Anolis sagrei: one gene and its partner. The protein of the gene in region 2 interacts with the protein of the main gene of each other region in a biochemical or structural test. Links are inferred from orthologs where the notes say so. Each region holds a gene or a part of one and is shown on either strand. Other genes may lie near its edges. The genes, in order: NLK and MYB.

Evidence for each region.
Region 1: of the proteins of MYB (region 2) and NLK, one has a biochemical effect on the other in vitro, tested with the Homo sapiens proteins (2 studies listed by BioGRID, with this or other methods). The link is inferred for Anolis sagrei from reciprocal best matches to the Homo sapiens genes MYB and NLK.

The regions. Positions count from the first base shown.
Region 1 is NC_090031.1:25,524,612-25,540,523, reverse strand, and holds the start of NLK (serine/threonine-protein kinase NLK), read right to left. Parts: upstream 6,426-15,912; 5' UTR 2,727-6,425; coding exon 2,269-2,726; intron 1-2,268. UniProt on the Homo sapiens protein: Serine/threonine-protein kinase that regulates a number of transcription factors with key roles in cell fate determination. Positive effector of the non-canonical Wnt signaling pathway, acting downstream of WNT5A, MAP3K7/TAK1 and HIPK2.
Region 2 is NC_090021.1:80,593,713-80,609,004, reverse strand, and holds the start of MYB (transcriptional activator Myb), read left to right. Parts: upstream 1-7,970; 5' UTR 7,971-8,218; coding exon 8,219-8,241; intron 8,242-15,292. UniProt on the Homo sapiens protein: Transcriptional activator; DNA-binding protein that specifically recognize the sequence 5'-YAAC[GT]G-3'. Plays an important role in the control of proliferation and differentiation of hematopoietic progenitor cells.

The DNA of each region.
Region 1 (15,912 bases), on a different chromosome or scaffold from region 2:
AAGGACATCAGACATACTATATGTACTCGAGTATAAGCCGACCCGAATATAAGCCAAAGCACTCAATCTTACTACAAAAAACTGGGAAAGCGTATTGAATATTTACATAAAACTGTAATTTAAGATAAGACTGTCCAACTCTGGTTAAACCATTATTCTAACCTCCTTTAATGTAAATGTGCTTACCTATCCTTCCAATAATAAAGAGAGTAAAATAGTAAATGTAATAATAATAATAATAATAATAATAATAGAGTAAAATAATGGAAATGTAATAACAGTAATAATATAGTAAAATAATAAATGTAATAACAACAATAAAATAATAATAAATGAAGTAAAATAATAAATGTATAAAAATAATAACAGAGTACAATGATAAATAACTTTGACTCGAGTATAAGCTGAGGGGAGCATTTTCAGCCTAAAAAAGGACTGAAAGACTCAGCTTATACTCAAGTATATACAGTAATTCAACTTGCTCAGCCTGCAATCCTATTCACATGTACCTTGGAAGAAGTCCCACAGGAGTCATCGAGACTCACTTTAAAGTATCGACGCGAGAAAATTTGGGCGAGAAAGCTTCATATTGCAAAGGAATACATAGTAGAAGCTTCAAAGGCATAAAAGCACCAAAAAACACCGTATATGTACATGTATATGTCGTGGGCTGGTTTTAGGGACAAAATTATGGATTTTGATGTCCCCCATGGATAAGTCAAGGGCCATTCCATTCAGAAGGGAACACCGCCTCAGAGGGCCATCTTCTTGTCCAGGTATTCAAAAAGTCCAGAAATGGCAACGTGGCAAAAAGAGTCGAGAGGGTCAATGCTTCTTTTAGATTCTCCTGAGAGGGACAAAGCTCTTGCCTTTTGCCACTCTTCTCAGAAAAGGAGTTTTAATATAAGAGTTCAGGTACAGTACTTAAATTGTCCCACCTAGGTTTTTGGATTGCTTTTTTATTCAAACTTACGAGTATAAAGAGTATTTCTTGCCCTCAAGATGGAAAAATAAGTTGGAGTATATGACAAAACGGTAAAAATGGGGTGGGGGTTAAACAACAAATCCAAATTTACTGGGTTCAAAAACCATGAATTTCTCTGCCTACAAAAACTATTCCTCAGGTATACTTTAAGACAACAACAACATTTTATTATGGTCCAAACACCCTTATTGCACCCTAGGTGTACAAAGTATGCAGGTAATGAGATTAAGAACAGTTAAAAACTGCTTAAAACACATGTTGGCTAAAAACATAGGTAAAAGACTACAAGAAGTGTTTCAGCCTATGTCTAAAATTGGGAACTGTCTGCCTGTCTCAGAAAGAAACTTGCCAACCGCCAAGGTCACGTGGGGAAGGTTGTCACCAAGTAGAAACTTCACATAAAATTTCACTGGACTTGCTGGTAAGTTTCTTAGAAGGGGGTTGATTATATGTGCTCGGGCCTGTTCAAAGAAATTGCATGACAGTAGAATGTGGTAGATGCATTCTACTTCCTGTTTGTTTCATGGGCAGAGTCTTTCATTATATGGGGTACCGGTAAATCTCCCACGCAGCAATTCAGATGGGAGCACATTGCACCTTGCCTTGGAAAATAGCCAGCGGTATTTGGCCACAGTCAAGTTCTTTAGATAGTTTGCTGCATGGAAATACCCAACATAATGTATGGACAGGGCACTAGGGGAGAACGATACATAAGAGTGAGAGCACAACTCAAAAAAGGCAATGTCCCATAGTCTTTGTTTGATTTGAGGGCCGTGTCAAAACCCAAATGAATTAGGAAGGATGCGGAAAGGCCAATGGAGTAGGCTTTATAGAACCAATCTTAAACCAACGGCTTATATACTCATCCTGAGCTAAGTGATGAATCAAACCAGATCCTAAACTAAAAACTCTGATCTTGTGACATTATTTAAATGCCAACCACCAGGCTCTTATTGACAGGGGTGCATCCTCGGATTCAAGTAATACGACATAGAAGCTGGGAAACTACCTTACAGAAGCTGGGAAACTATCTTAGCGTTAAAAGACTTTGAGACACAAATAAGAGGAAAATACGGCAAAATACATGCCAACATATGAGAACAAAAGTGTTTCACTTGTGCTACTTACATTCCACTAAAATTGCTTACTCTAGTGGATGAGGTCTTCCTAAGACCTCACACACCAGAGAACTGTACAAGAAACTGTGGGGAAAGTAACATGCAAATCCAATGGCAACATGAACGCACTATAGCTTGGAAGCCACCAGAGACATCTATACTCACCAGACGACACCAAAGGCTCCATATCCAATAGGCCGGTCTGGCTCAATATCCAGTTGCTGCTGCGGGTGATGCGTGTGCTGATGATGATGCGCTTTAACTGCAGCCGCTGCTGCAGCTTGTACCTGAGCTGGGGCTGCTGCAGCTGGCCCAGGAGCCTGACCTGGTGCCGGTGACGGGAAATATGGCTGCTGCTGGCCTGGATTTAACATGGCTGCAGCCGCCGCAGCCGCAGCGGCCGCTGCAGCCGCTGAGGAAGCATGTTGCTGCACAGGATGCACTGCAGCCGCAGAGCCTGGGTGCAAGTGGTGCTGGGAATGGTGGTGGTGATGGAGATGAGGAGGAGGGAGGTGGGCGAGGTGGTGGTGATGGTGGTGGTGGTGACCTGCTGCGGCGGCGGATGTACCGCCATTGTAAGCCGCCATCATTTTTGCGCCGGCTGTGGCACTACACAGAGACATTCAAGATGATGCCCTCTGGTTGGAGAACAACTGGGTCAAGCTGTCATTTGGCCACAAAAATGAAGGTCTGCTACACTTTCACAAGCAAGTTGCCCACCTTTGCAAACATGGAGCTCAACAGGTCTTTTACGTCTTCATTAAGTCACTAAAAATGGAGGCTTCTGCGTGTGTGAGTGTGAGCATGCAATAAATTCCCCTTCCCCCCAAGATGGCTGATGTAGTTGGTACTAGAATGCCATCTTTCTGCTTTTTCTGTGCCAGTCTTGAATTCAAGTCAGTCCCCGTCCCCCCTAGAAAAAGGATGTGAATGCACCCCCCTAGAAAATGTTAGGAATACTGACAACTCCACCCCTTCCATTCCCACATTCTTTTCATTTATCTTTTCAAAATGTGCAAGAAGGTCCCTTAAGGGCTTCTACAAGTCTTCTCCACTCTGTGCTGTGTATACATCCATTCACCTTTAATATTAAGCTTGGATGGATGTAAGCAATTTCCCGTGGAAGGGAATAGAAAGTGACTAATGAAAGCAAAGAATGTTAAGTCAGTGGGGGAGAGGATATGTCCAAAAAGGACAGAAAGAAGAATATGAGAAAAGACCAGATCAATGGGAAGAAAGAAAGAAAGAAACTGGAAAAGAGGAGCAAGTAAAACAGAATAAGACTGACAGGAAATACTTCTTTTAAAAAGTAGTGTGTGGGAGGTGAGAAGTCGGGCAATACAAGTTACTGAGGGCAAGGAGTAAGCGGGTTGCAGGAATATTTAGAAGGGCAGAAATGAAATAACTTAAAACCAAAGATGAAAGCAGATAACACTGGGTGACTGAGAAAAATTACGGAAAATGATGGAGCTGAAAGAAACAGGATAGTCAAGTAATGTGAACAGAAGAATGAAGTACAAAAAAGGAATGTGGATAAGAAGCAATCAGTTCACAGAAATAATCTTTTAAAAACCTAACAGAGGACCAAAGAAACGGGAGGAAAAAGGAACATAGAGGGAAACAAGTACAAAAAGAAATTATGTTAATTTAGAATGTGATCAGGCGACAAAAAAAACAGAAATGAGAAACCAAAAGTCACAGAATATAAAGGGAGTAAACTGGGGGAAACAGAGACAATGCAAAAGAGATGAAAAACTACAAACAGAACTAGATGGAAAATGCAAAAACAGAAGAAGGAAACAATTTTATAAATGGGAAACAATTAAAATGCATGAAAAGAGGGAAGAAAATACTTGAGGAGATGCTTCTCGGAGATTTTACGAAGCAAAGAATGTCTAAGTTATGGAAAGAGCATGAAAGGGAAATGAAGGATGCAATGCATTCAGGGATGCGGAAAAAAGTTTTTTTAAAGGAGAGGAAAATCCTGCCCAAAAAAAAGCATGTAAGAAGAAAAAGAACTGAGGAGAGGAACTTGAGAGGAGTGAAATGAAAGAGTACTTAAAAGGAGGAGAGAATGCAGGAGGAAAAGCAAGTGAAAATGAGCAATGGGACAAAACAATATATTATATTATATATTCTTTTTCTAAGCCTGTGAGAAGAGTGCAAGAGGGAGAAAGTGATGAAATGTGGAAAAAAGAAATAAGTGGGAGAGGGAGATAAGAAAGAGAGGCGATCTAGGGGAGGAAATCAGGAGAAAATGAGCAATGGAGCAAAACAATATTGTATTATATATTATTTTTCTATGAGAAGAGGGAAAAACCAAGACGGGGAGAAAGCGATAAAAATCTGGAAGAAGAAGAAAATAAATGGGAGATAGGGAAGGGATCTAGGGGAGGAAATCTGGAGAAAATGAGCAATGGAGCAAAACAATATTGTATATTATTTTTCAAAGCCTGTGAGAAGACTGCATGAGGGAGAAACCAAGAAAGAGAATGTGACAGGAAGAAAGCGATAAAAAATGTGCAAGAAGAAAGTACGTGGGAGAGAGATATAAAAAGATCTAGGGGAGAAAATCAGGAGAAAATATGAGCAATGGAGCAAAACAATATTGTGTTATATATTATTTTTCAAAGGCTGTGAGAAGAGCGCAAGTGGGAGAAAACAGAGAAGAGGAGAAAGTGATAAAATGTGCAAGAAGAAGAAAATAAGTGGGAGGGAGAGATAAGAAAGGGAGGGGTTCTAGGGGAGGAAATCAGGAGAAAATGAGCAATGGAGTAAAACAATATTGTATTATATATTATTTTTCAAAGGCTGTGAGAAGAGGGAGAAACCTAGATGGAGAGAAAGAAATAAAAATGTAGAAGAAGAAGAAAATAAGTGGGAGATAAGAAAGGGAGGGGATCTAGGGCAGGAAATCAGGAGAAAATGAGCAACAGAGCAAAACAATATTGTATTATATATTCTTTTTCTATGAGAAGAGCGCAAGAGGGAGAAATGGAGATAAAAATGTGCAAGAAGGAAAAAAGTGGGAGAGATAAGAAAGGGAGGAGATCTAGGGAAGGAAAGCAGGGGAAAACGAGCAATGGAAGAATATGTGTATTTATATTTTAAGAGGAGAATATTGTAAAGGGAAGGGAGAACTGCAAGAAGTAGAAAAAGGAGAGGAAAGGGAGACAAGAAAGGGAGGAGATCTGGGGGAGGAAAGCAGGAGAAAATGAGCAATGGAGCAAAACAATTATTATTATTATTATATTTTATTTTTCAAAGCTTGTGAGAAGAGCGCAAGAGGAAACAGAGGTGGGGAAAAAGAGATAAAAATGTGCAAGAAGAAGAAAATAAGTGGGGGAGAGAAATAAGAAAGGGAGGAGATCTAGGGAAGGAAAGCAGGAGAAAACGAGCAATGTAGGAAAATTATGTATTTATATTACAAGTGGAAAATATTGTAAAGGGAAGGGAGAGCTGCAAGAAGCAGAAAAAGGGGAGGAAAGGGAGACAAGAAAAGGAGATCTAGGGAAGGAAAGCAGCAGAAAACGAGCAATGTAGGAAAATTATGTATTTATATTACAAGAGGAAAATATTGTAAACGGAAGGGAGAGCTGCAAGAAGCAGAAAAAGGAGAGGAAAGGGAGACAAGAAAAGGAGATCTAGGGAAGGAAAGCAGGAGAAAACGAGCAATGGAAGAATATGTGTATTTATATTGCAAGAGGGGAATATTGTAAAGGGAAGGGAGAGCTGCAAGAAGCAGGAAAAGAAGAGGAAAAGGAGAGTGCAAGGAGAAAGATGGTGAAAATGGAAAGAGGTGAGGAGCAAAGTGGAGAGAAGAGGGAGCTGAGGGATGCAGAAAGGAGAAGAGGAGGAGGAGGAGGTGAGATGGGGAATGGGATGAGGGAAAAGGTAACAATCTGGGTGGCGGAGGTGGTCTTGATGGTGCCTGAGAAGGGGAGGCAGGGAAGGTCAAGGCAAGGGCCTACCTTTGGCCTGACAGCAGCCTGACCCAATGAGGCGGGGCCTGGGCGAGTGCGGCTGGCCAATAGGGGGCGCTCGGCGGGCCGGGGAGGCGGGAGCTACGCCGGGGCCTTTCCTGAGGGCAGAGGCCGGGCGAGGGGGCTCCCTCAGGCCTCTCTTCGCCCCCCCGGCTCCTCCTCCTCGCCTTCCTCCGCCGCCCCTCCGTCCCCTCAGGCCGCCCGACCGGCCGCCACTCGCCCTCGCCGCCTCCTTCCTCCTCCTTCTCCTTCTCCTCACAGGAGCCCCAGAGTGAAAGAGCACCCGGGGAGCGCGCATGCGTGCGCCCTCGCGCACTCTCAGAGGCGCACACACGCCGAATGCGCGCTCCCGTCGCTCAACAGCCCCCCCTCCGCGCGCGCGCCCTTTCCAACCAATAGGCACACTCCTCCTCTGAGGCCACGCCCAATTGGGAAACTCGTCTCCGCCTCTTCGCCAATCAGGCGCCTCCGAACATCTTCCCGCCTCTTTTCCTTGTCACCTCACGCAACCTTCACCTAGATATTGGGAGTCCAATATTATTAGTCCCGCCTTGGATTGACACATTCGAGGACCAATGAGGTTGCGCGACGCCTGTAAGGAGACCAATAATGACCTGGAGGATCCAAAAAGGCCTCAGATATGGTTATTAGTCCCGCCTCGGATTGACACGTCCCTAGGCCAATGAGGCTGCGCGACGCCTTTAGGGAAACCAATAAGGGCCCAGAGGGATTTTTTTAAAACTCCTCTGACACACATCCATAGAGGGGAACTGATCTAGTTTATAGAGGAGCTGTCAGTCGAATTAAGATGAGCCAATAGCGGAGGAGGAAGAGTAGGAGGAGGCGGGACTAGCTCACGAATGGAAAGGGGAACTCCTTGGAAGGAGGCGGAGTCGGGAGGTCTTTCTAGTGGGCGGGGCGGTGCTTAGATGGACAGCCAAGGCAGCCAATGGCGGTCACGGAGGCGGGGTAATGCAAGGACAGCGTGAAGCAGGAACCGTTGGGTCAAGCGGAGGGCTCTGTCACGCGCAGGAAGCCGAGGGGGCGGGGCTTAGCCTATGGGGAGGAGCAGGGGGCGGGGTCAAAGCCTAGGCAAGGCGAGGGACCTCAGTGAGGAGGCCTTTCGGAGGAGGAATGGGAGTTGTAGTTTTCCCAAGATGTTTTATATATTATTATATATATTTTATATTATATATATATAATATAATATGTTATATTATTATATAAATATATATAATAATAAATATATATAATAATAATATAATATATTATATTAAAATATTGCTATTCTATTATATATTATTATATATTTTATATTATATATATTTATATAATAATATAATAGTAATATATTAACATAATATAGTAATAATATAATAATAATGTATTTCAATCAAGCTAATACATAAAATATAATCACTACTGATAATATAAAATTATATACTGCTTCATTATTGTATAATTGTCAATTTTTTGGCATATCAGGTCTGTGTGCCAAGTTTGTTCCTCGTCAATCATCGGTGGGGGTCACTCTTTCTCTGGTTGTGGGTGAACAACAACTCCCGGAAAGAAAGGTCATTCCCCCCCCCCAAAAAAAACCCCCTCCAATAATCAAATATCAACAATATCAGGCATGCATGCCAAGTTTGGTCCAGATCTAGCGGTGTTTGGGTTCACAGTGCTCTCTGGATGTAGGTGAACTACAACTCCCCCAAATCAAGGTGAATTCCCCCCCCCCCCAAGACCACCAGTATTTTTTGCTGGTTATGGGGCTCTGTGTGCCAAGTTTGGTCCAATTCCATTGCTGGTGGAGTTCACAGTGCTCTTAGATTGCAGGTGAACTATACATCCCAGTACCTACAACTCCTATAAATCATGGTGAATTGTCCCCAAACCTCTCAGTTGCTGATCAATTCCTCTGTTTTGTTGTAGGTTTTTTGGGCTGTCTGGCTATGCTCTAGAAGCATTCTCTCCTGACATTTCACCTGCATCTATGGCAAGCATCCTCAGAGGTTGTGAGGTCTGTTAGAACTAGGAAAATTGGGTTTATATATCTGTGGAATGATGTCCAGGGTGGGAGAAAGAACTCTTGTCTGTTGGAGGTCGGTTTGAATGTTTCAATTGCCCATCTTGAAAAGTATTTGATGGCCTGGCAGTTTTTGGTGTGGCTTGTTAGTGCCTGGGGGAAATCTTTTCAAGTTTGACGAACGCGCAAACCTCTGCCTTCAGCCTGATTTGAACCACAGCAGGGAGTTCCGCAGTTCCAGGACATCTGGGTGGGCCAACATCGAAGGGACGGTGGCCACAGCAGCAGCTTCAACTGAAAGTCACTTTTCTGCTTTCTTTTCTCCCTTACCCTAATATTGTAACAAATCCCTCAATAAAAGTATCCTTTGATTGCAAAATTTTCCTCCTCATAGTGATACATTGTATCTCTTTCTTGCCTCTAACACTCCCTAACATAAACTTTTCCTTTCTCGGGCCACAGATCACGGCTGGCTCGCCCGAGATGCTCTTACAGCTTCCCAGGAAGGCCGAAACCGCTTTCCGTGGAACCGCGGATACGGAAATCCATTGAGCCCCCATATCCGCGGGTCAACGGATGTTCATGTTCCCAGACTACTTCAACCAGAGAAGTCAGCCATAGCAGAGCACCTGATGAACCATCCTGGACACAGCATATTAATTGAGAATACAGAAATGCTGGACCACTCTCACAACCACCATGTCAGGCTACACAGAGAAGCCATTGAAATCCACAAGCACATGGACAATTTCAACAGAAAGGAGGAAACCATGAAAATGAACAAAATCTGGCTACCAGTATTAAAAACTCTAAAATTATAACAGTAAATAAAGAACAACACTCAAACACAGGGGAACTCCAGACATGAAACAATCCGGGACAGCTAATCACCTCTCAACAAAAAAATCCCTAAAATTGGTCAATGTATGATTTTTTCTGAAACTTGGGGGGAATGATCCTCTGTTATTTTGTGTCATTGTGTAGAAAATTCAAGGAGATTGTTCTTGTAGTTTTTTTTAAATGTTGCTTATAAAAACTTTGGAAATTCCCCCGAAATATGTGGATAAATGAAATGTTCCGAAACTTGATGGACCATCCTGACTGTGAGGGCTGTTCAGCACACATTCCACAGATATATAAACCAAATTTTCCTAGTTTTCAACAGACCTCACAACCTCTGAGGATGCTTGCCACAGATGCAGGCGAAACATCAGGAGAGAATGCTTCTAGCACATGGCCTGAAAAACCTACAACAACTTAGTGATTCCAGCCATGAAAGCCTTTGACAATTCCTCTGTTTGCTGTGTGCCATAGAAAAGAATAGGAAAGGGTTCATTAAGGGAGAGGCAGTGGGCGGGGGTCATGCAAATTCCACACCAATGGAGAGAGAAAGGAACCCTGGGATGTCTGTGGTGGAGGAAACGTATTTCTGTTTACAAACCTACACGATCTCTTCAATCCTCCGGAGAGGCCCTTCTCTCACTCCCGCCTCCATTGCAGGTGCAACATGTGAGGACGAGGGAGAGGGCCTTCTCTGTGGTGGCTCCCCGGCTCTGGAACTTGCTCCCAAGAGATATTAGGCAAACCACACCCTGGCAATCTTCAGGAAGAGCTTGAAAACTTGGCTGTTCCAGTGTGCCTTCAATGAAAGAATGAACAATAATTCCCTGAACTGACCAAGTCCTGCAAATGCACTCGCAAGCACTTTATTCTATCATTTCTTACTCATCCCCCGGATCCTCTGTCCAGACACATTAAACTTCCTGTCTCACCCAGTGTTTTAATTTATAATCTATTGGAATTGGCCCTGCCTTTTGAGATTGATCTCTTTGTCTTAAATGTTGCGATTTTAATTGGTTTTGTGTTGTATTTTTATTTCTTTTATTTTATTGCTGTGTTTTGTTGTATATTGATGTATTGTGATGTTAATTTATGTTAATATTTATATTAATATTTATGTTAATATGATGTGATAGTTATTGTTTGTGTTTTGGGTTTGTGTTTTGGTTTTTCTTTATTGTAATTGTTATTTGGCCTTGGTCTCATGTAAGCCACCTCGAGTCCCTTCGGGGAGATGGTGGCGGGGTATAAATAAAGATTGTTGTTGTTGTTGTTGTTGTTGTTGTTGTTGTTGTTAGGCTTGGCCTCATATAAGCCACCCTGAGTCCACTTTGGGACATGGTAGGTAAAGTAGGTTTTTATTTATTATTTTATTATTATTATTATATTATTATTATTATTATTATTATTATTACATTTAAGGTAAAGGTAAAGGTTTTCCCCAACATTAAGTCCAGTTGTGTCCGACTCTGGTGGAGTGGTGCTCATCTCCAAGCTGAAGAGCCGGCATCATTCGTAGACACCTCCAAGGTCATGTGGCCTGCATGACTGCATGGAGCACCGTTACCTTCCCGCCACTGTGTTTTTGAACTGCTAGGTTGGCAGAAGCTGGGGCTGACAGTGGAAGCTCACGCCGCTTCCCGGATTCAAACCTGCAACCTTTTGGTCAGCAATCTCAACAGTTTAACCCACTGTGCTACTGGGGACTCCTGGGGAGATGGTGGCGGGGTATAAATATATATAATATATTTATTATAAAATTTATTTTATAATTTATTATATTATATTATAAAATAATATATAAATATAATAATAATAATAAAGTTTATTATTATTATTATTATTATTATTATTATTATTATTATTAAGTGGACACCCTAGCCATATACAGACATACTTTTATAATGTGTCTAGGATAGGATATATTATATTATTATTATTATTATTATTATTATTATTATTATTAAGTGGACACCCTAACCATATAAACACATACTTTTATAATGTGTCTAGGATAGGATATATTATATTATAATAATAATTATTATTATTATTATTAAGTGGACACCCTAGCCATATACAGACATACTTTTATAATGTGTCTAGGATATGATATATTATTATTATTATTATTATTATTATTATTATTATTATTAAGTGGACACCCTAGCCATATACAGACATACTTTTATAATGTGTCTAGGATAGGATATATTATATTATTATTATTATTATTATTATTATTATTATTATTAAGTGAACAACCTAGCCATATACACACATACTTTTATAATGTGTCTACGATAGGCTATATTATATTATTATTATTATTATTATTATTATTATTATTATTATTAAGTGGACACCCTAGCCATATACACTCATACTTTTATAATGTGTCTAGGATAGGATATATTATATTATTATTATTATTATTATTATTATTATTATTATTATTATTAAGTGGATACCCTAGCCATATACACACATGCTTTTATAATGTGTCTAGGATAGGATATAGTATTTTATATTTATATTTATAATAATAATAATATAGGATACAGATATTTGTGTATTTTGAGTTGTAATGTTTTTTATTGTGATCCGCTTTGAGCCCAGAGTATAGATGAATTAACAAAGGGACCACCATCCCAGCTCCTATTGTGACCCCGGTTGGATCATGACCCAAATAGACTCCCTTCTTCTCTCAATGTCCATCCACCAAAGCAATCAAGTGGGAAAAATAAATGGCATTTCGTGGGAGGTGGCAGAGAGGGGATCTGTCTGTGCAGATGCCGGGAGAATGTGGTCGGAATATACAAGCACATGATTGCAATTCGGTAAATAACGTGTGTTGTTTTGGGGGGAATGAGAGTTGCTGCCAACAGATGTGCTGCCTTTAATGGAAAATGAAAAAAAAAATCCCATAATTAGGAGGAATGCGCCTTCAAACTCAATGGCAAATCACTTCTTTTCAGCTTCGGTCCAGAAATGATTGGGCTTTTTAATTTTTTTGCAGCTGCCTTAATTCTCTGTTATTGTCTCTCGTCATAGAATCATCATAATTAGTTGAAGAAGTCCCTTTCTTGGAAGGTTTTTAATCAGAGGCTGGGTGGCCATCTGTCAGGAGGGTTTGGATGGTGCCGTCCTGTCTGTTCCAGAATGCGTGAACTGGATTGTACGAGTCTGCACTGCCATATGATGCAGTTTGAGTGCATTCTGTAATGGCATCATATGGCAGTCTATGTTTCTAGAATTTTTGGGTAAACGCAAAGGTTGGCCATCTGTCGGGAAGGTTTCGACTTTCCCCTTTGGGGTAGATATGACCTCAGAGCGTAATGTGTGCGAAACTACAAACCCGTGTATGGTTGTTGCTGAAGGACGTTGCTCTATTCCATGTGGACAGTCTCTTGGTGACGTTGACAGATGTTTTCGGAGACAATCCTCGAGAGCGAGGATTAAAAAGCAATTTGCAACCACTTTAAAGCGGGCCTCCATATTTGGGTCACGGGCATTAACTCTTTCCGGGAGAGGCTTTCATGATATCTGCCTGCCTGGCTTGCGCTGGATTATCATTCTAGCATATGGCTGGATGACCATCTGTCAGGAGGGTTTGGATGGTGTCTTCCTTTGTGGCAGAATGGGGGTCACACTCAATGGCCCTTGAGGTCTGCTTTAAAATTGATTCTCCCAAGGCCTGTTCTTTGGCTGCGTCTACACTGTAAAATAAATGCAGTTTAACGCCACTTGGACGGCTATGGGATCCTGAAAGTTGTAGCTCGACAAGACTTCTCCACCCAAGAGTATTAGTTCATACGAGGGTTGAATGAAAAGTAATGCTTCCACCTTCGTAACTCCTCAACAGATAGCAGTACTGGTATGCGGCAGGTACTGGCTTGTTCAGTAGACTCTCCTCTACAGTTCCATTTTCGCGGGAAGCCTTAGCATCGAATGGTTGCGTTGTTAAAGTGCGAAGTATGGAACCCTGTGCAGACTGTCAGTCAATGCGAATACACAATCAAAGCCCTCCCAACAGATGGCCATCGAGTCTCTGCTTAAAGATCTCCAGAGAAGGGGACTCTCATAGTATACATTCCACTAGATTTGGAGCGACCCCAAAGGCCATCCAGTCCAACCTGCCTCTCATGCAGAAAGACACAATCAAAGCCCTCTCAAGAGATGGCCATCCAGCCTCTGCTTGAAGATCTCCAAAGAAGGAAACTCTTAGGCAGTATATATTCCACTAGATTTGGAGGGATCCCCAAAGGCCATCTAGTCCAACCTCCTTCTGTCATGAAGGAAGACACAACCAAAGCCCTCCCAACAGATGTCCAACCCCTTCCTCCCAGACAGGAAGATATAATCATTGAAGGTGTCACCCCAAAGGAGATTCCTCAGAGAATACAAGCTCTTTATGTTGATTGTGTTGATGTGAGTACTGTGCGTTGTTGGGCAGGTAAGTTTAAAGATGTTGAGGTGGGAACATCTGACTTGCGTGACAAAGAGTTGGACGTCCTGTGACAGCAACCACCGAGTTTCACAAGCAAAAGTTTGACAGATTGATTCCGGACGATCGTCGTATCACTCAGAGAGAATTTTCAAGCATAATCGGCATTTCACAAGAACGTGTGGGTCACATTATTGCTTTGCTTGGATATTGGAAGATCTGTGCATGATGGGAACCCAGGATGCTGACGTCTGAAATGAAAGCGCACAGACTTGAAACTTCAGAGACTGGATCTCACCACCGTACGACATCCTTCATACAGTCCAGATTTAGCACCATCTGGCTTCCATCCATTCCCGATAATGAAAGAAGATCTGTGGGGACATCATTATGCTTTTGATGAAGACATTGAGAGAACTGTGAGATGCTGGTTGCGGAAACAGAGTGTCGACTTCTTCCGTGACGGCTTCAGAAAACTTGTTAATCTTTGGCAGAAATGTATCCAATTGTCTGGTGATTATGTGGAAAAGTGAATAGTGGTAATTAAAGAGCACATTCTAAGGATTATTTCTGCGTTTGGTTTATTAAAATATTCCCATCCAAACCCAAGTAACGAAGGAGGAGGCATTACTTTTCATTCAACCCTCCCATTAATATAATCTGCTCCAGCACCAAAATATGGTCCTTTGCTGCCCTCAGGTGGACAAATTAATATTACACCCACCTTGCTCGACAACCAAGGCTGCTCCACTATACTGTTCTTTGCTGCCATCCGGCGGACATAATAATTATTGCACCCGCCAATTTTACACCTTAATAAGCCAAGGCTGCTCCAATATACTGTTCTTTGCTGCCATCGAGTGGACACATTAATTATTGCACCCGCCTTGCTATTTTGCGCCTTAATAAGCCAAGGCTGCTCCAATATACTGTCCTTTGCCGCCATCCAGTGGACATAAAAATTATTGCATCCACCTTGCTATTTTGCGCTTTCATAAACCAAGGCTGCTCCAATATACTGTTCTTTGCTGCCATCCAGTGGACACTTTAATTATTGCAGCCATCTTGCTATTTTGCGCCTTAATAAGCCAAGGCTGCTCCAATATACTGTCCTTTGCCGCCACCCAGTGGACACATTAATTATTTCACCCATAGTGATATTTTGCGACTTAATAAGCCAAGGCTGCTCCAATATACTGTCCTTTGCTGCCATCCAGTGGACACATTAATTATTGCACGCACCTTGATATTTTGCTCCTTAATAAGCCAAGGCTGCTCCAATATAGTGTCCTTTGCTGCCATCCAGTGGACATAATAATTATTGCACCCGCCTTGCTATTTTACCCCTTAATAAGCCAAGGCTGCTCCAATATACTGTCCTTTGCTGCCATCCAGTGGACACATTAATTATTGCACGCACCTTGATATTTTGCTCCTTAATAAGCCAAGGTTGCTCCAATATTTTGTCCTTTGCTGCCATCCAGTGGACACATTAATTATTGCATCCACCTTGCTATTCCCCTCCTTCTACAAACCAAGACAGCTCCAATATATTGTCCTTTGCCGCCATCCAGTGGACACTTTAATTAGTGCACCCGCCTCGATATTTTGTTCCTCAATAAGCCAAGGCTGCTCCACTATACTGTCCTTTGCTGCCATCCAGTGGACACATGAATTATTGCACCCGCCTTGCTATTTTGCGCCTTAATAAGCCAAGGCTGCTCCAATATACCGTTCTTTGCTGCCATCCAGTGGACACATTAATTATTGCACCCACCTTGCTATTTTGCGCCTTAATAAGCCAAGGCTGCTCCAATATACCGTTCTTTGCTGCCATCCAGTGGACACATGAATTATTGCACCCGCCTTGCTATTTTGCGCCTTAATAAGCCAAGGCTGCTCCAATATACCGTTCTTTGCTGCCATCCAGTGGACACATGAATTATTGCACCCGCCTTGCTATTTTGCGCCTTAATAAGCCAAGGCTGCTCCAATATACCGTTCTTTGCTGCCATCCAGTGGACACATTAATTATTGCACCCACCTTGCTATTTTGCGCCTTAATAAGCCAAGGCTGCTCCAATATACCGTTCTTTGCTGCCATCCAGTGGACACATTAATTATTGCACCCACCTTGCTATTTTGCGCCTTAATAAGCCAAGGCTGCTCCAATATACCGTTCTTTGCTGCCATCCAGTGGACACATGAATTATTGCACCCGCCTTGCTATTTTGCGCCTTAATAAGCCAAGGCTGCTCCAATATACCGTTCTTTGCTGCCATCCAGTGGACATAATAATTATTGCACCACCTTGCTATTTTGCGCCTTAAGAAGCCAAGACTGCTCCAATATTCTGTTCTTTGCTGCCATCCAGTGGACACATTAATTATTGCACACGCCTTGCTATTTTGCTATTCAATAAGCCAAGGTTGCGCCAATATACTGTTCTTTGCTGCCATCCAGTGGACACATTAATTATTGCACCCGCCTTCCTATTTTGCGCTTTAATAAAC
Region 2 (15,292 bases):
GACATTTCCAAGTGTATATATGTTTGTTGGCTTTTTTTATTGTTCATGGCACCAGTTGATCCCGAGAGCAGAAAACTGATGCCAAGAGTGGGCACAGTTGTCAATCCCACCTAATAGGAGGGCTTTACATATGGAAGATGGCTCTGGCCAATTTTCAGGGATCCTTGCTCCTGTACTGCATGCATCCCATCTAGCAATGTCTCAAGAGCCTTAATGTAGCATTTTTAAGAAGCAGGAAGAACTTCCATGGGGAAGAGGGCCCCATTACTGGCCTGGACCTGCACCCTACCCATTCTATGGAAAATACTATATAGAAACACACTTTCATTCCAAAACTGAAACCAATCAAACATCTGTATTTATGCACACTGACAGAGGACTTACACATAGAAGTACAACTCAAAATACCACAAGTGTATACACTTAGGCTGGATCTACACTACCATATAATACAGTTTGTCAGTGTAGACCAATATAATAGTCAGTGTAGACCAATATAAGGCAGTTTGATGCAGTCAAATTGTATTAAATGCATCTACACTGATCATATAATTCAGTTTCAAAGTGTATGATTACAGTGTGCATAGGAAACATTTCCACATTCACAGCAGATACACATTAATAATCTGTAAACCCACAATAACTCATCTATGTAGCCTGTATCAACATTTCTCATCAGATACACCTTTTCACCCTTGTTGCAAGCTTATAAATAAGAAAAGTATATATCCCCTTCCAAAATATTACTAATGTTTCTAAATTTGGAGAACCTTTTGAAATGCACAATCCTGAAGCCACAGAAAGGAAAATGTTCCATATTGTACAAAATTCAAACCCCCTCTAAACACAGTTGGGTATGTTGAGTTTTCCTTAGAATCATCACAAGTCCTAAACGACTTTAAGGCACATGATAATATTCATTAAAATTTCCCCAAGTGGGCATGTCTCTGGATTTCTGTTGTGTCTCTTGTGTGTACTCACCTCTTTAAAAAGGGATGCGTATAATCAGTTCCTGTAAAATGTTTCTGACAGTGCATGATCATATGTGTGCATACTCATATAAATTCAAATATACTTTATATCTAAGTAACACAAAATCAGAATGTTATATTCTTGGAATATTTTTGGAAGGCTCCACTTCTTTACTGATCATATACATATTTAGAGAAGGAATGTATTATACTATTTTGCCTTCAGTGCCCTATTGTAACTTTGGTGTACTCTGGAAATATAGTTTATGGCTGTCCTTGGTATACAAGTACCCTTTGCATTAAAGTGAAAGACTTTACCTCTAGTTCTATACACAAATATTTGGCATTAAGATGCAATGCCTTGAAACATGCATGGGATCACATTGAGGTTGTTGTTTGTCTTTTTAGAAGGAAACCTAATTTCTTATTGGTGTTTATCGTTCAGAGCAGAACTACACATTATATGGAACGTAGGACTGTGCCTCCCAAAGCAGTTCTACTTCAGACAGTTTTCTCTGATGTTATTACACCAAGTGTTTCAGCATTCCTGTCATCACCAGTCAAATAATGGGAAGATGGCAACACAAACTACATTGATGTTAGGTTAAAACAGTGGTTCCCAACCTTTTTTGACCAGGGACCACTTGACCAGGGACCACTTTGACCAGGGATGACTCTCCAACATTAGTACCAAAAGGGTTACAAATCGGTTTTTGGTCAACTTTAGATTCGGTTTGGAGTGCTGATTCAGAACATTGCATTGGCTAGACCAAATCAGCTCTAGTTTCTGATACAGAACATATGCCACCCAGTAATCGCCATCTGCTTGCTCACAGAAAACCAAATTTAATCATCTAGAGCTGATGTAGTAGTAATATTTTGTGGGTAGTCGGCCTCTCCCCTCCTGACATCCCCATTTTGTAAGACCAGTCGCTCTCATTGCTGTGTGGTTTCAAGGCAACGGTGTAGTAATGGTGAGACCGCGGACCCTATTTTCATTCTTGCAGACCACTGGTGGTCCATGGACCATAGGTTGGGAACCAGTGGGTTAAAGGATAGGCATCTTGTACTGAATATTATGGAGGAGAAGAGTAGGGAGAACTTTTTCATATTTCCAGTGAAGGAAATATGTGAAGGTCTGCTGTTCCACTGTCCTTCATTTTGAATTGCCATCTGTCATTTTCATTAGCCCACTTTCTTCCCATGCTGTGTAATATGATGCAAACACATGCACAAATAATCGTACAAATAAGGAGGGAGATCAAAATTGTCACTTGAAGCAACAGGTTAGGGTAACTAGCGGCAAGCATACTTGTATCAGTATGTTGTTCAGAGCAGATGACCTGGAGAGAATTATCCTGTTTCGTGATGTCTGGAACATGCATGGAAAGGCAGTGATCTTCCCAGTACTAAGCATCTAGGGTCAGATGACATAATTTGTCCAATGGCAACCCATGAATGTTATAGGGATTCCGTAGGCAAATAATATTCCAAGGTAGTTTACCAGTTCCCTCCCCTAAAATATAGCTAACAGCAGACATGAAAAAACTTTTAGGGGTGGGGCAGATTGGGGCCAGGGCAGACGGATCAGGAGGGAGGGGCGAGCTCTTGGCAGCAACCTGTCCCTGGCTTTCCTTGCAGCCTGGGGATGCAGTGGCCCACCATGTTCCCAAGCTGAGAGGAGTGAGCTCTCTCGACAGTGGCCTGTCCTTCCCCCTGGCTCCAGAGCGCTCAGCCGCCTTATTCCAGGAGGTGGGCCCAAGGAAGGCACGAGATGACCGAGAGCAATCCGAAGGGCTCCCAGCCACCATGTGCCTTCCTCCCCTGTCCCTTCACCATAGGAGCACAGTCCCAGAGGACAGGAAAATGAGGAGGGCCAAACATAAGCACCCACGGGCCTTACTTTGTCCATGCCCGCCTACAGCATCTGACATTTGTCGGCAATGTAAGTGCTAACCATATCATATCTTGTCAGATGGATTTTATTTAAATCTTTACTGAATTCAAGGTGTGACTTTATTTAAAAGGTTAGAATGCCCGCCTGAAAGGGGCTCTGATAGAGGATCTCTTATCCAAAATGCTTGGGGCCAGAAATGTTTTGGGATTTTGAAATACCCATATTTGCATATGCGTACACTGTGTCTGGAAAATGCAGTGTACGTTTATTTTTCATAAACACCCTATAGATAGATATCTTGGAGGTAATTTTATACACAATATTTTAATATTTTAAAATAATGTTGTGTATGAAACAAAGTTTGTGTACACTAAAACCATCAGAAAACAAAAGTATCACTATCTGGACCACCCATGTGGACAAATTCAGATTTTGGAGCATTTTGGATTTTTGGAAATGGGATACTCAATTGTGTCTTATTTCCTTTTTTTCCCCTCCTTTCTTTTAAGAAGGAAAATATCTTTTTAGCTTCTAGTGTTTGTAGATATTTTCCGTAAGCCTCTGTAAATGTTAACACCTCTCTCCATTATTGGTTGATTATATTTTCTCATCCAAGCTAGCTGAGGTGTTGCTTCCTTTTCCTCCTACTGCCCACGTTTTCCCCAACTTTAGGATCTTCCATATATTGGGAGGCGTGTGTGGCTGTTTTGTTTCTTTTCTGTATTTCAGAGTATATTTATTGTTTCCGTTATAGTAGTTAGCTGTTGTGAAATCATTCAAACTAAAGGTTGCAGGTTATGTTGTTAATAGTGAAATTAACTGGAGTCCTGGCAAACATAGCTATGAATTCAGATTTGAAGGTGTTCTGTTTCAGAATGATTTTAGTTGATAGTCTACGGCAGTGTTTCTCAACCTGGGGGTCGGGACCTCTGGGGGGTCATGAGCGGTGTTTCGGAGGTGTTACCAAAGACCATCAGAAAACACATATTTGGCAGAGAAGGCTGAAGATCTCTCTGCCTGTCTTTCTCTTCCTTTCTAGTATTGATGGACTACAACAGAATTCTGAACAGCTGCCACCCCCACCCCAATCTCATCAATATTCAATGCTGGTGATGTAGGTAGTGTGCCAAGTTTAGTGCAGATACATTGTGGACTGGGTTTGGAGTGCTCTTTGATTGTAGGTGAACTATAAATCCCAGCAATTCTAACTCCCAAAGGTCAAGGTCTATTTCCCCCAAACTCCACCAATGTTCACATTTGGGCATGTTGAGTATCCGTGCCAAGTTTGGTCCAGATCCATCATTGTTTGAATCAAATGCTCTTTGGAGATAGGTGAACTACAACTCCAAAACGCAAGGTCAATGTCCATCAAACCCTTCCAGTATTTTCTGTTGGTTGTGGGAGTTGTGTGCTAAATTTGGTTCAATTCCACCATTAGTGGAGTTCAGAATGCTCTTTCATTATCGGTGAACTATATATCCCAGCAACTACAACCCCCAAATGACAAAATCAATCCCCCCCCCACCCCACCAGTATTCAAATTTGCGCGTATCGGGTATTTGTGATAAATTTGGTCCAGTGAATGAAAATACATCCCGCATATCAGATATTTACATTACAATTCATAACAGTACCCAAATTACAGTTATGAAGTAGCAATGAAAATAATGTTATGACTGGCGGTCACCACAACATGAGGAGCTGTATTAAGGGGTCGCGGCATTAGGAAGGTTGAGAAACACTGGTTTATGGGAGTGTGCCACAAAGCAGGCAGTGTAGGCCTACTGGAGCTACCTCCTTCAGGGCCCAAGTAAGTAAGGGGCCCATCACTTAACTAGCAAAGTGCCTCATTTGCTCTAAATCTGGCACTGCTTCCAGATATTGCACTGCAACTCTGACCATTAGTTCATACTGACTAGAGCGAATGAAGCTTGGAGGGCCACCCACTGCCCCTTGTTGGTTTAGAATTCTGATTGCAAAAGCTCATGCCTATATAAGGACACATAAGAATGGTTTAGAAGTTTGCAGAGATGGAACTGATTTAGGAGTTGGTTCTATGGTCACTGGAAAGCATATGTTCAATTTACTGATGTTAGGTTTAATTTATTGATGATAGGTTTAATTTGAAGTTAGGTTTTATATTGTTTTCGTATGTGGGGGTTTTTTCTGGGATTTTATGTTGGTGGGGTGTTGTGAGTTTTCCAGGCTGTATGGCCATGTTCCAGAATCTGGAACATGGCAATTCCAGACAAGAACCAATCAGGGCAAGTTAATCACCTCCCAACAAAGGATTCTCCAGGCAGTAAGAAGACAGACCTTGAAACTGCTAGGCCCTTAAATGCTAATCAAGGTGTCCAATTTAAACATTCACACCTTCCTCAAACAGACAAGAATTCTTTCTCCTACCCTGGGCTTTCCACAGATATATAAACCCAATTTTCCAAGTTTTCAACAGACCTCACAACCTCTGAGGATGCCTGCCATAGATGCAGGTGAAATGTCAGGAGAGAGTGCTTCTGGAATATGACCATGCAGCCTGGGAAAGCCTTCCACAATACATGTTATGTTGGTCTTTGTTTTAAGGAGGCAATGAATGTTTGCTGGTGTATGTTGGAATCCGCCCTGAGTCCCCCTGGGGAGATAGGGCGGAATATAAATAAAGTTTTATCATCACCACCATCATCAGTAGTAGCACCAGGGAACCAGCAAGACTTTTTTAAACATCTTGAAGCTGTGCTGTTCCCCTGAGAGCGCCGCTAGCTCTTTCCTTCTGCTCAGTCAACCTTTTTCTCACTGCTAGAATCTGGTATGAATGGAACAGACTATCCTGGTAGGGGCTCAAAGGCTGAGCATTTTGTATTTTTCACAGTTTTGTTGCAGGGCAGAAACCGGGCTGCGTGAGTCGAATTTCCTTTCTTGCCTTGTTACAGAAACAGGCAGCACCCTCGGCACACTCCCCAGCTCCACTTAACACATGTGCAGCGGTTGCAGGCTTGGAGAGGCCGCTCCTGGGCTGTTCACCATCCGGATGGGAGGTATTTCAAAACCCTGGAGGTAATGCATTGTCAAAGGCTTTCATGGCCAGAATCACTGGGTTGTAATAAGTTTTCCGGGCTGTATGGCCATGTTCAAGAAGCATTCTCTCCTGGCATTTCACCTGCATCTATCTCAGGCATCCTCAGAGGTTGTGAGGTCTGTTGGAAACTAGGAAAATGGGGTTTATATATCTGTGTAATGTCCAAGGTGGGAGAAAGGACTCTTGTCTGAGGCAAGTGTGAGTGTTGCAATTGGCCACCTTGATTAGTCTTGAATGGCTTTGCAGCTTCAAGGTCTGGCTTCTTACTGCATTAGCATGCAATCTATGTAATTCCAACACTGTTAAGGATTCCCCCATCCTTAACAGTGTTGAAGGAGCCCACAGTGGGTTAAACCCCTGTACTGGCAGGTCTGAAGACCGACAGGTTGCAGGTTCCAATCCGGGGAGAGCGTGGATGAGCTTTGGCTCCTCATGCGGGGAAATGAGAGAAGCCTCCCACAAGGATGTTTGTTTGTTTGTTTTGGTCGTGTCAGGAGCGACTTGAGAAACTGCAAGTCGCTTCTGGTGTGAGGGAATTGGCTGTCTGCAAGGATGTTGTCCAGGGGACGCCTGGATGATTTGATGTTTTTATCATCCTTGTGGGAGGCTTCTCTTATGTCCACGCATGAGGAGCTGGAGCTGATAGAGGGAGCTCATCCGCCTCTCCCCAGATTCGAACCTGCAACCTGTCGGTCTTCAGTCCTGCCGGCACAGGGGTTTAATCCACTGCGCCACTGGGGGCTCTTACAAGGATGGTAACACATCAAAACATCTGGGGGTCCCCTGGGCAAGGTCCAATTCTCTCACACTAGAAGTGACTTGCAGTTTCTCAAGTCACTCCTGACACAACAGAAAAAAAAGTGTTGCAATTACATAGATTGCATGGTAATCAAGGTGGCCAATTGAAACATTAACACCTGCCTCCAATAATAAATAAATAAATAATAAAACTTTATTTATACCCCGCCACCATCTCCCCAAGGGGACTCGGGGCGGCTAACATGAGGCCAAGCCCAACAATTACAACAAGGCAAAAAGAATACAATCATACATGAAAGAAAATACAAAGAAAACAAAACAAAACAGAATATAACAAAAATGAGCCGAACGGGCAGGGCCAAGTACAATGAATAGGATTTTAGAACCCTGGGTGGGATGGATGAGTAGGGTAATGTCTAGGTTCTTGTGGGTTTTTTCGGGCTATCTGGCCATGTTCTAGAGGCATTTCTCCTGACGTTTCGCCTGCACCTATGGCAAGCATCCTCAGAGGTGAAGTCTGTTGTGAGGTTGTGAGGTCTGGAAACAGACCTCACAACCTCTTGGGATGCCTGCCATAGATGCAGGCGAAACGTCAAGAGAGAATGCTTTTGGGACATGGCTACACAGCCCGGGAACTCTTTCAGCTGGCTATGGGCAGCCTCCAGCACCTCCTCTCTCTCTCTCTCTCTCTCTCTGCGGGGATCCTGACCCTAGTGGAAGGCTGCTCGGAGGGAGCCCCTTCAGGTTGGCTCTTCCTCCTGGCTCTGGGGCGCCGTCCCGGCAGGGAAGAAGGAAGCGGCGCTGCACCTGTTGGGCCGCCTGGCTCCCGGCAGGGCAGCTGTTGTGAAGCCCTGGCACGAAGGTGCTTCGCCCCAACCCTCCTCCTCCCAGCCCGACGAGGACAGGTGGGGAAGCTTCCAGCTTGGCAAGCCCCGCGGGCTCCGAGCCAAAGGAAGGAAGTTTTCGCCCAATGCGAGAGAGAGAGGGAGGGAGGGGGCGGCAAAGCGGGTCCTTGGCGTGGAGTGGGAGCCTCGTTCGCGGGGGGAAGTGGGGGTCTGAGTCTCTCCCGCCTGGAGAGAGAGCCCAGCAGCAGCAGCAGTGCCCGCGCTTCTTCTTCTTCCTCCTCCTCCTCCTCCGTCCCCTCCGGACCCGCGGGCAGCGGCTGCGAGGAGCGCCTGCGCACTGCAGGGGCGCCAGATTTGGCGGGAGGGGGAGTGTCCACACATACACACTCACACACACACACTAAAGGGGGAGAGAGAGAGAGAGAAGAGGGCCCTTTGTTTGATGGCATCTGTTTACAGAGTTGACTCTTTCATCTCAACCTGTTTCCTCCTCCCCTCCTTGCCCGCTCCTGAGAAGAAGCACAACTTGGGCGGCGGAGGAGCTGCTGCTGCTGCTGCTGCTGCTCTCTCGCCTTCCTTCTCCAGCGGCTGCAGCAGCAGCACGCCGCCTTCCTCCTCCTCCTCCTCCGCTCCCGCCCACCCGCTTTCCCCCCGGGACTAATGCCAAAGGATGGCCAGGAGACCCAGGCACAGGTAAAGAGGGAAGGAGAGCTTGGCAATGAGGATCTCGGGGGATCGTGGGCGAGGAGAACTCCACGTTCTACGGTTTGCTTCTTAGAGTTTGTGGGTCTTTTTACTTCGGGGATCACAAAGTTGCAAACGGTCGGGGCGCGGGAGGTCTGTCCTCCTTTCTTTCTTTCTTTCTTTCTTTCTTTCTTTCTCGACACCTGTCATGCAAGCTGAGGGTTCAAATCCTCTCCCGAGTTTGCAGAGGCAGCGCTTCTTTTCCCGCTTCCTCCTGCTGCCAACCTTTCCCCAACTTTAGGATCCCTCAAAGTCTGCAAAGTTTTCTCCAGTTGTGCAGGGAAGCGGGAGTGGGCATCGCTTCGGGCCCAGCTCCAGCGCCGAGGTGGGCGCCACGGGAGATCTGGGCCCGCGAGGGGTCGTGCCAATGGTAGGGCAAGCGGGTCAATGTGGGAGCCGTCCCCATTCATCCGCGCGCTCATTCATTCCCGAGTCTTGCAAGCTGGCAAGCAGAACCAAGCGCCTCTCTCTCTCTCTCTCTCTCTCTCTCTCCCCCCCTGGGTGTTTTGTGCAGGACTCCCAATCCCTCGCCCTTCCCGACCCACTTGGCACGCGGGGAGTGTGCCTTGCAGCGCCGTTTGGGGAGAACTTTGCTTCCCCCACCCAAAGTAGAAAAGTATGTAGCGGGGAAAGAGTAAGTGAGTGAGGAAGGGTCTCTTGTCAAGAACTGTCACTGCCTTGCACCGCTTCTTGGGGCGCCGTTTACACTGTGGAATTGAGGCCGATTGGCACCACTTCCCCTGCCAGAACTCAGTGCCGTGGGATCCCAAGAGTTTGGCGAGGCAAAGAACCTTAACAAACTACAACTCTCGCTACTGCACAGCAGGGAGGCTTGAACTTTTTGTGATAGCTGTTCAGCAGTGGAACTCTCTGCCCCGGAGTGTGGTGGAGGCTCCTTCTAGTGTAGGGAGGCTTTTAAACAGAGACGGGATGGCCATCTGTTGGGGGTGCTTTGAGTGCGATTTTCCTGCTTCTGGGCAGGGGGTTGGACTGGATGGCCCACGAGGTCTCTTCCAACTCTAGAATTCTACGGAGGCAGGGCAGTTACAAAGTGGCATTCACCCAACAGTGTGGATCAGGCATGGGGAAACTTGGGTCCTCCCTCCAGGTGGTTTGGACTCCCAACTCCCATCATTCCGAACAGCCTCAGGTCCTTACTTTTTCCCCTTCAGCCGCTTAAGCGTAAGGGCCTGAGGCTGTTCGGAATGATGGGAGTTGGGAGTCCAAACCACCTGGAGGGCTGCAGTGTGACCATGCCTGGTGTGATGCAAGGGTGGGGGGAGGTTGTGGGAAAGCGTCCCCTCGGGCAGGCGCGGCGTGGGATGGTTTCCTTGGGAGCCCCGGGACACTCGCCCACGTGGAGCTGGCCCAACGTGGCTTCCTTTCTCTTTCGCCCTGCGGCGCCGGAGAGGCAGCTTCCTTCCTTCCTTCCCTCTCTCTTTCCCTCGCCTGCTTTCCCCAACTCAGGAAACTCTTCTGCAGTCCCTTTCCCTGAGCTTGACAGCAAAAGGCGGCCCCCAGCCTCCAAAGTTTCCAAGGCGAGAGGGAGCGCGGGGTTTGGGCGCAATGCTGCTGTGAAAGCCAATGAGGGCAGTGCGGAGGGACGGGGGTTAGCGGGGGGGGGGGGAGTGCTCTCCTCTGCACCGCTCCGCCTCGGGCTGAGCAGACCTCGCAAGGGCGGCAAAGCCCTCCGCCCTTAACTCTCTTGCGAGGCGGGCGAAAGGCGCGGCCTTTAAAACGCCACGGCGGGCAGACGGGCGGGAGGAAGGAAGGCAGGCAGGCAGGGAGGGAGGGAGGGAGGGGAGGCGCTCTCCTCCGCTCTTCGTATTTGTTGTGTGTTCTTATTTATACTAGTGGCCCTCTCTCTCTCCCGGAAAGAGGGGGAGTGGTGTGTTGTGTTGTGTTGTGTTGTGTGTGGGGAACGGAGCAGACTGGGGCTCGGTGCTATGGGATGCTGGGAGTGGTAGGGTGTGTTGGGCAGAGAAGGCTCAAGATATTCTAAGAGAGGAATAGACCAACTTGGGCCCTTCCTCCAGGTGTTTTGGACTCCAACTCCCACCATTCCTAACAGCCTCAGCTGAGGGGGAAAAGGAAGGGTCCTGAGGCTGTTAGGAATGGTGGGAGTTGGAGTCCAAAACACCTGGAGGAAGGGCCCAAGTTGGCCCATGCCTGTTCTAAAACCACAACTTCCAGGATTCCACTGTATGGAGCCAGGGCAGTTACAGCGGAGTCAAACTGCAGTATTGCTACAATGGAGATGTCCTTGCAGAAAACAGTCGCTACTGCACTGGTACTGGAACTATATATATATATATATATATAATTATATATATGAGACCCCCCCCCCCCCCCCCCGTGGCTCAGTGGGTTAAACCACTGAGCTGTTAAGCTTGTTGAGCGAAAGGTCGCAAGTTCGAATCCGGGGAGCTGCATGAGCTTCCACTGTCAGCCCCAGCTTCTGCCAACCTAGTAGTTTGAAAACATGCAAATGTGAGTAGATCAATAGGTATCGCTCTAGCGGGAAGGTATGCAGTCATGCTGGCCACATGACGTTGGAGGTGTCTATGGACAATGCTGGCTCTTCAGCTTAGAAGAGATGAGCAACACACCCCAGAGTCAGGCATGACTGGACTTAATGTCAGGGGAAAACCTTTACCTTACTATATATATATATATATATATACACACAGAGAGAGAAAGAGAGAGAGAGAGAGAGAGAGTAGAGTCTCACTTATCCAACATAAATGGGCCAGCAGAATGTTGGATAAGCAAAAATGCTGGATAATAAGGATAATGTTGGATAATCATTATCATTTTACAAATTAAGTCCCAAAACATCATGTTTCACAACAAATCAACAGAAAAAGCAGTTCAGTACATGGTCACATTATGAAGTAGTTACTGTATTTACAAATTTAGCACCAAAACAGACAAGGGTACTTTCTTTTTCCCACGTTTGACTGCATTCGATAATACAGAACATTGGATAAGCGAAGGTTGGATAAGCGAGACTCTACTCTGTGTGTGTGTATCCATATTTGTTTGTATACATGTATATATAAAGGAAAAGCACGAATTAAAATAGTGGGTCTTGTTATTGGGTCAACTTATGTTGGTGATAGCATATGCAAACACATCTGCTGGCAAAAACCCAACCTGAAAATAAGGGAAAAGGTTGGGAGCAACAAACTTGCTAAATGTGGTCTTGTAGTTCTGTCCTGCTTAGGGTACATCTTAACTGTAGGGTTAATGCAGTTTGACACCGCTTTAACTGCCATGGCTCAATGGTATGGAGTCCTGGGAGTTGTGAGTCCCTTCCACACAGCCCTTCCACAATATCAAGGCAGAAATCCCACATTACCTGCTTTGAACTGGAATATATGGCAGTGTGGACTCAGATAACCCAGTTCAAAGCAGACATTGAAGGATTTTCTGCCTTGATATTCTAGGTTATATGGCTGTGTTAAAGGACCCACTGACTTACAACTTGAGCAAGTGAAATAAACCTCTGACTTGACTTTGGGCCCCAAAGAGTGGCCTAATTGTAAAAAAAAAAAAAAGTGCTGTCCAGTTAGAGCTGTTGGATGCCCATCCTGCAGAACGTCACAGTTCATATGTGGCATTGCTTTCAGTGGGGCATGTGGTCCATCCAATGCTAACTTACTCAGAAGAAAATTGATCAATATGCATAACCTTGCTGTCTAAGGCCCTTTACACTCAGCTGAATAAAATCCCACATTATCTGCTTTGAACTGGAATTGAGTCCACACTGCCATATATTCCAGTTCAAAGCAGATAATGTGGGATTTTATTCAGCTGTGTGGAAGGGGCCTTAGACAGCAAGGTTATGCACATTGATCAACTTTCTTCTGTTCGAAACAGATATTGAGGGATTTTCTGCCTTGGTCTTCTGGGTTATATGGCTGTGTGGAAGGGTCCTAAGGTATGCATAACCACAGCAGGTTTGAGTTAGTGGCAGTGGCTTTAATATCACTTCTTAGAGATCATTTTGATGTTAACGAGACTTTTAAATAAGTTTCATGTTTAGGCTGCAATCCTAAACATGAACACTTGGATGTTAGTCTTATTGAAGTCAGTGGGATTAATAAATAGACATGCTTAAGATCAGTTTTGATCAGATCAAGAAAGCTGGCAATCCCTGAAAAACTTGTTATAGAGAAATTCTACACCACACAATGACATATTACTATTGATTCATTGAAGTTGTACTTAGTCAGACAGACTCTCTAAACTGATTAGTAAAATCCATATGCAGTGATGTAGGACAGCCCCTTCTGACCTTTGACAGGTGGTGACACTGAGCAGATTTTTTGTTATGCTTTAGGACTGGACCCTTAAGGGTTGTTATGTATATAGTCCTTAAAACCATGCAAGCTTTTTTTGTGATCCTTAAAGCGTTGTGAAGCAAATTGTTACTAATTCTGTTTTACATGTGAGAAAACTGGCTGAGATGTAACATATTACCAAAGGCCACCTAAGTTGTATTCAGACTGTATGACATTAATGCCTATGTTGTTTTAATCTGCAGGTGGAGGATTAAATGTTTACTCTTACTGTCGGTAGACATAGGAGCTAGCAAACAGGGCAAAAGGGTTGTAAGTGCAGCCTTTTCACTGGCAGGGTATACTTTTAAAGAAGTTAAATAGGAATAGTACTTGCAATCTGAAATAATAAGAGTCTAGTAAGAGATGCATCATATGAGTCTGCTGCTGATGTGTTCCCTCACTAAGCCTATGGCTGAGCTTGGATTCAAATTTGAAGTAACCAAAGCTGATTCTTCACTCCTGTCTAGTTTGTTTCATAAGCCATACAATCTCAAGCAGTAGGTTTACCTGATGAATGGTGTGATAATCTAATTTTAGTTTGTATTAAGAGTTGAGTGTAATTGGTAGCCTTATTTTGCATTTAGTAGCGATTTGTAGGCTGTCAATTTCAGTATATGCATGTCTGTGATGTTGACAATGCCAGAGATTCTGTAACTTTAAATTGCATTGTGTGTATCCACATGTTTTGGAATGCACTGTTACGTTTTGCAGAAATTCAGTCTTTTACATGAGAACAATTAAACTGCAGCCTTTGAACCACAAATTCTGGGTAATCTCATTGACTCGACACTCCCTCCGCATAACAGCTTTTAAGGCACTCAGTCTTAAATATTAGATTTTTAATTGTTCCAATGGTAAGACAAGATCACTATAATGTGCTTATTTATCAAACACGTTTTTTAAAATTTTTATTTGAAGTTTATCTCTTTCATGTGTCACTATAATTAGCCCTAAACCATCCATATTTTCTGTTCTCCTGTAGATACAATCTGTAAGCTGACATTTCAAAAGTTATGTTTATGTTTTAAAGTTAGAAATAAAGCATTGCACAATAGAACTGAAGTACGGCAACATCTGTTGCAAAACGCTCTTAATTTTTCTAAACTGGAAGGGTTCGAGTGGGTGTTTGTGTATTATTCTACTCATACACTGTTTTTGGAGGAAATATCCTAGGGCAACCACTTTGTGGAAAATATGTCAGATGGACTTGAAATAAGAACACTGTTTATGATGAAGCAGTAAGATTGTTCACTTCAGTGCTATGACAATTTTAGATATTACACTTCTCCTCAGTTGTACCTGCACTTGGCCAGAGTTTGTTGATACTGCTCTTCATTTACAAAACAAGCCGATCACTTGATGTCCTTATGTTTTCATTTGTTTTGAGAGGCCTTTGCCCTTGGATATTTAAGGCTGTAGATTTGTGCTTATGTCTAGGCTGACCCGTGTGTGTGTGTTTGTGGAAACAAGTCACACTGTATTTCTAGGACTTGCTTTCTTCTAAGTAATTTTGGACTTTAAGTACTATTCTCAAGGGTTAGTGGGCATGGGGATTTTACTTCTTTTGGCCCTTCTACACAGCCTTACATCCCAGAATATCAAGGCAGAAAATCCCACATTATCTGAGTGTGGACTCAGATAACCCAGTATTGTGAGATTTTCCGCCTTGATATTCTGGGATATAGAGCTGTGTGGAAGGGCCCTTTGTTGCATGACTTCAAATTGTTTCTGACTTATAGTCACCCTATCGCAAACCTAACACAAGGTTTTCTTAAATTAGTTCAGAAGGTGATTTGTCTGCTTTCCTCTCAGGGCCCCTCCACACAGCCATATAACCCAGAATATCAAGGCAGAAAATCCCACACTATCTGCGTTGAACTGGATTATCTGAGTCCACACTGCCATATATTCCAATTTGAAGCAGATAATGTGGGATTTTATTCAGCTGTGAAGAAGGGGCCTCAGGGTGAAAGCGTATGACTCACCCAAGGTAACACAGTGAGTTTCCAAGGTTCAGTATGTATTTAAAGTCTGCCCTTGAGAGCCTGAGCACCCTTCTACACTACCATATAATCCAGAATGTCAAGGCAAGTTATCCACATTGTCTGCTTTGAACTGGTTTATCTGAGTCTACACTGCCATATAATCCAGTTCAAAGCATATAATCTGGATTTTAGACATCTGTGTAAAAGGGGACATAGTGCAGTGTGTAAACCACTACACCACACTGGTCCATTTTCTTGGCATTAGCCCAGTTGAATTCAATAGGCTATTGGCCCTTTGACACAGCCCTATATCCCAGAATTTCAAGGCAGAAAATCCCACAATATCTGCTTTGAACTGGATTCTGAGTCTACATTCAGATAATGTGGGATTTTTTTGCCTTAAAATTCTGGGATATAGGGTGGTTGTGTGGAAGGACCCTATGAGTTTTCAATTGCCTGACTGAACGTTACCGAATTTAGATCTCTGTGACCCACCATATATATTAATATATAAGTTGACCATATGCATAAGTCAGGGGCTGGTTTGGTACCCAAAATAATGGATTTTGAAAAGACCCATGGGTAAGTTGAGGGTCATTCCTTGAAGGAGGGGAAGCACCAGTGCCTTGACTTCTGTCGCCATTTCCTCAGCCAGGCATTCAAAAAGGC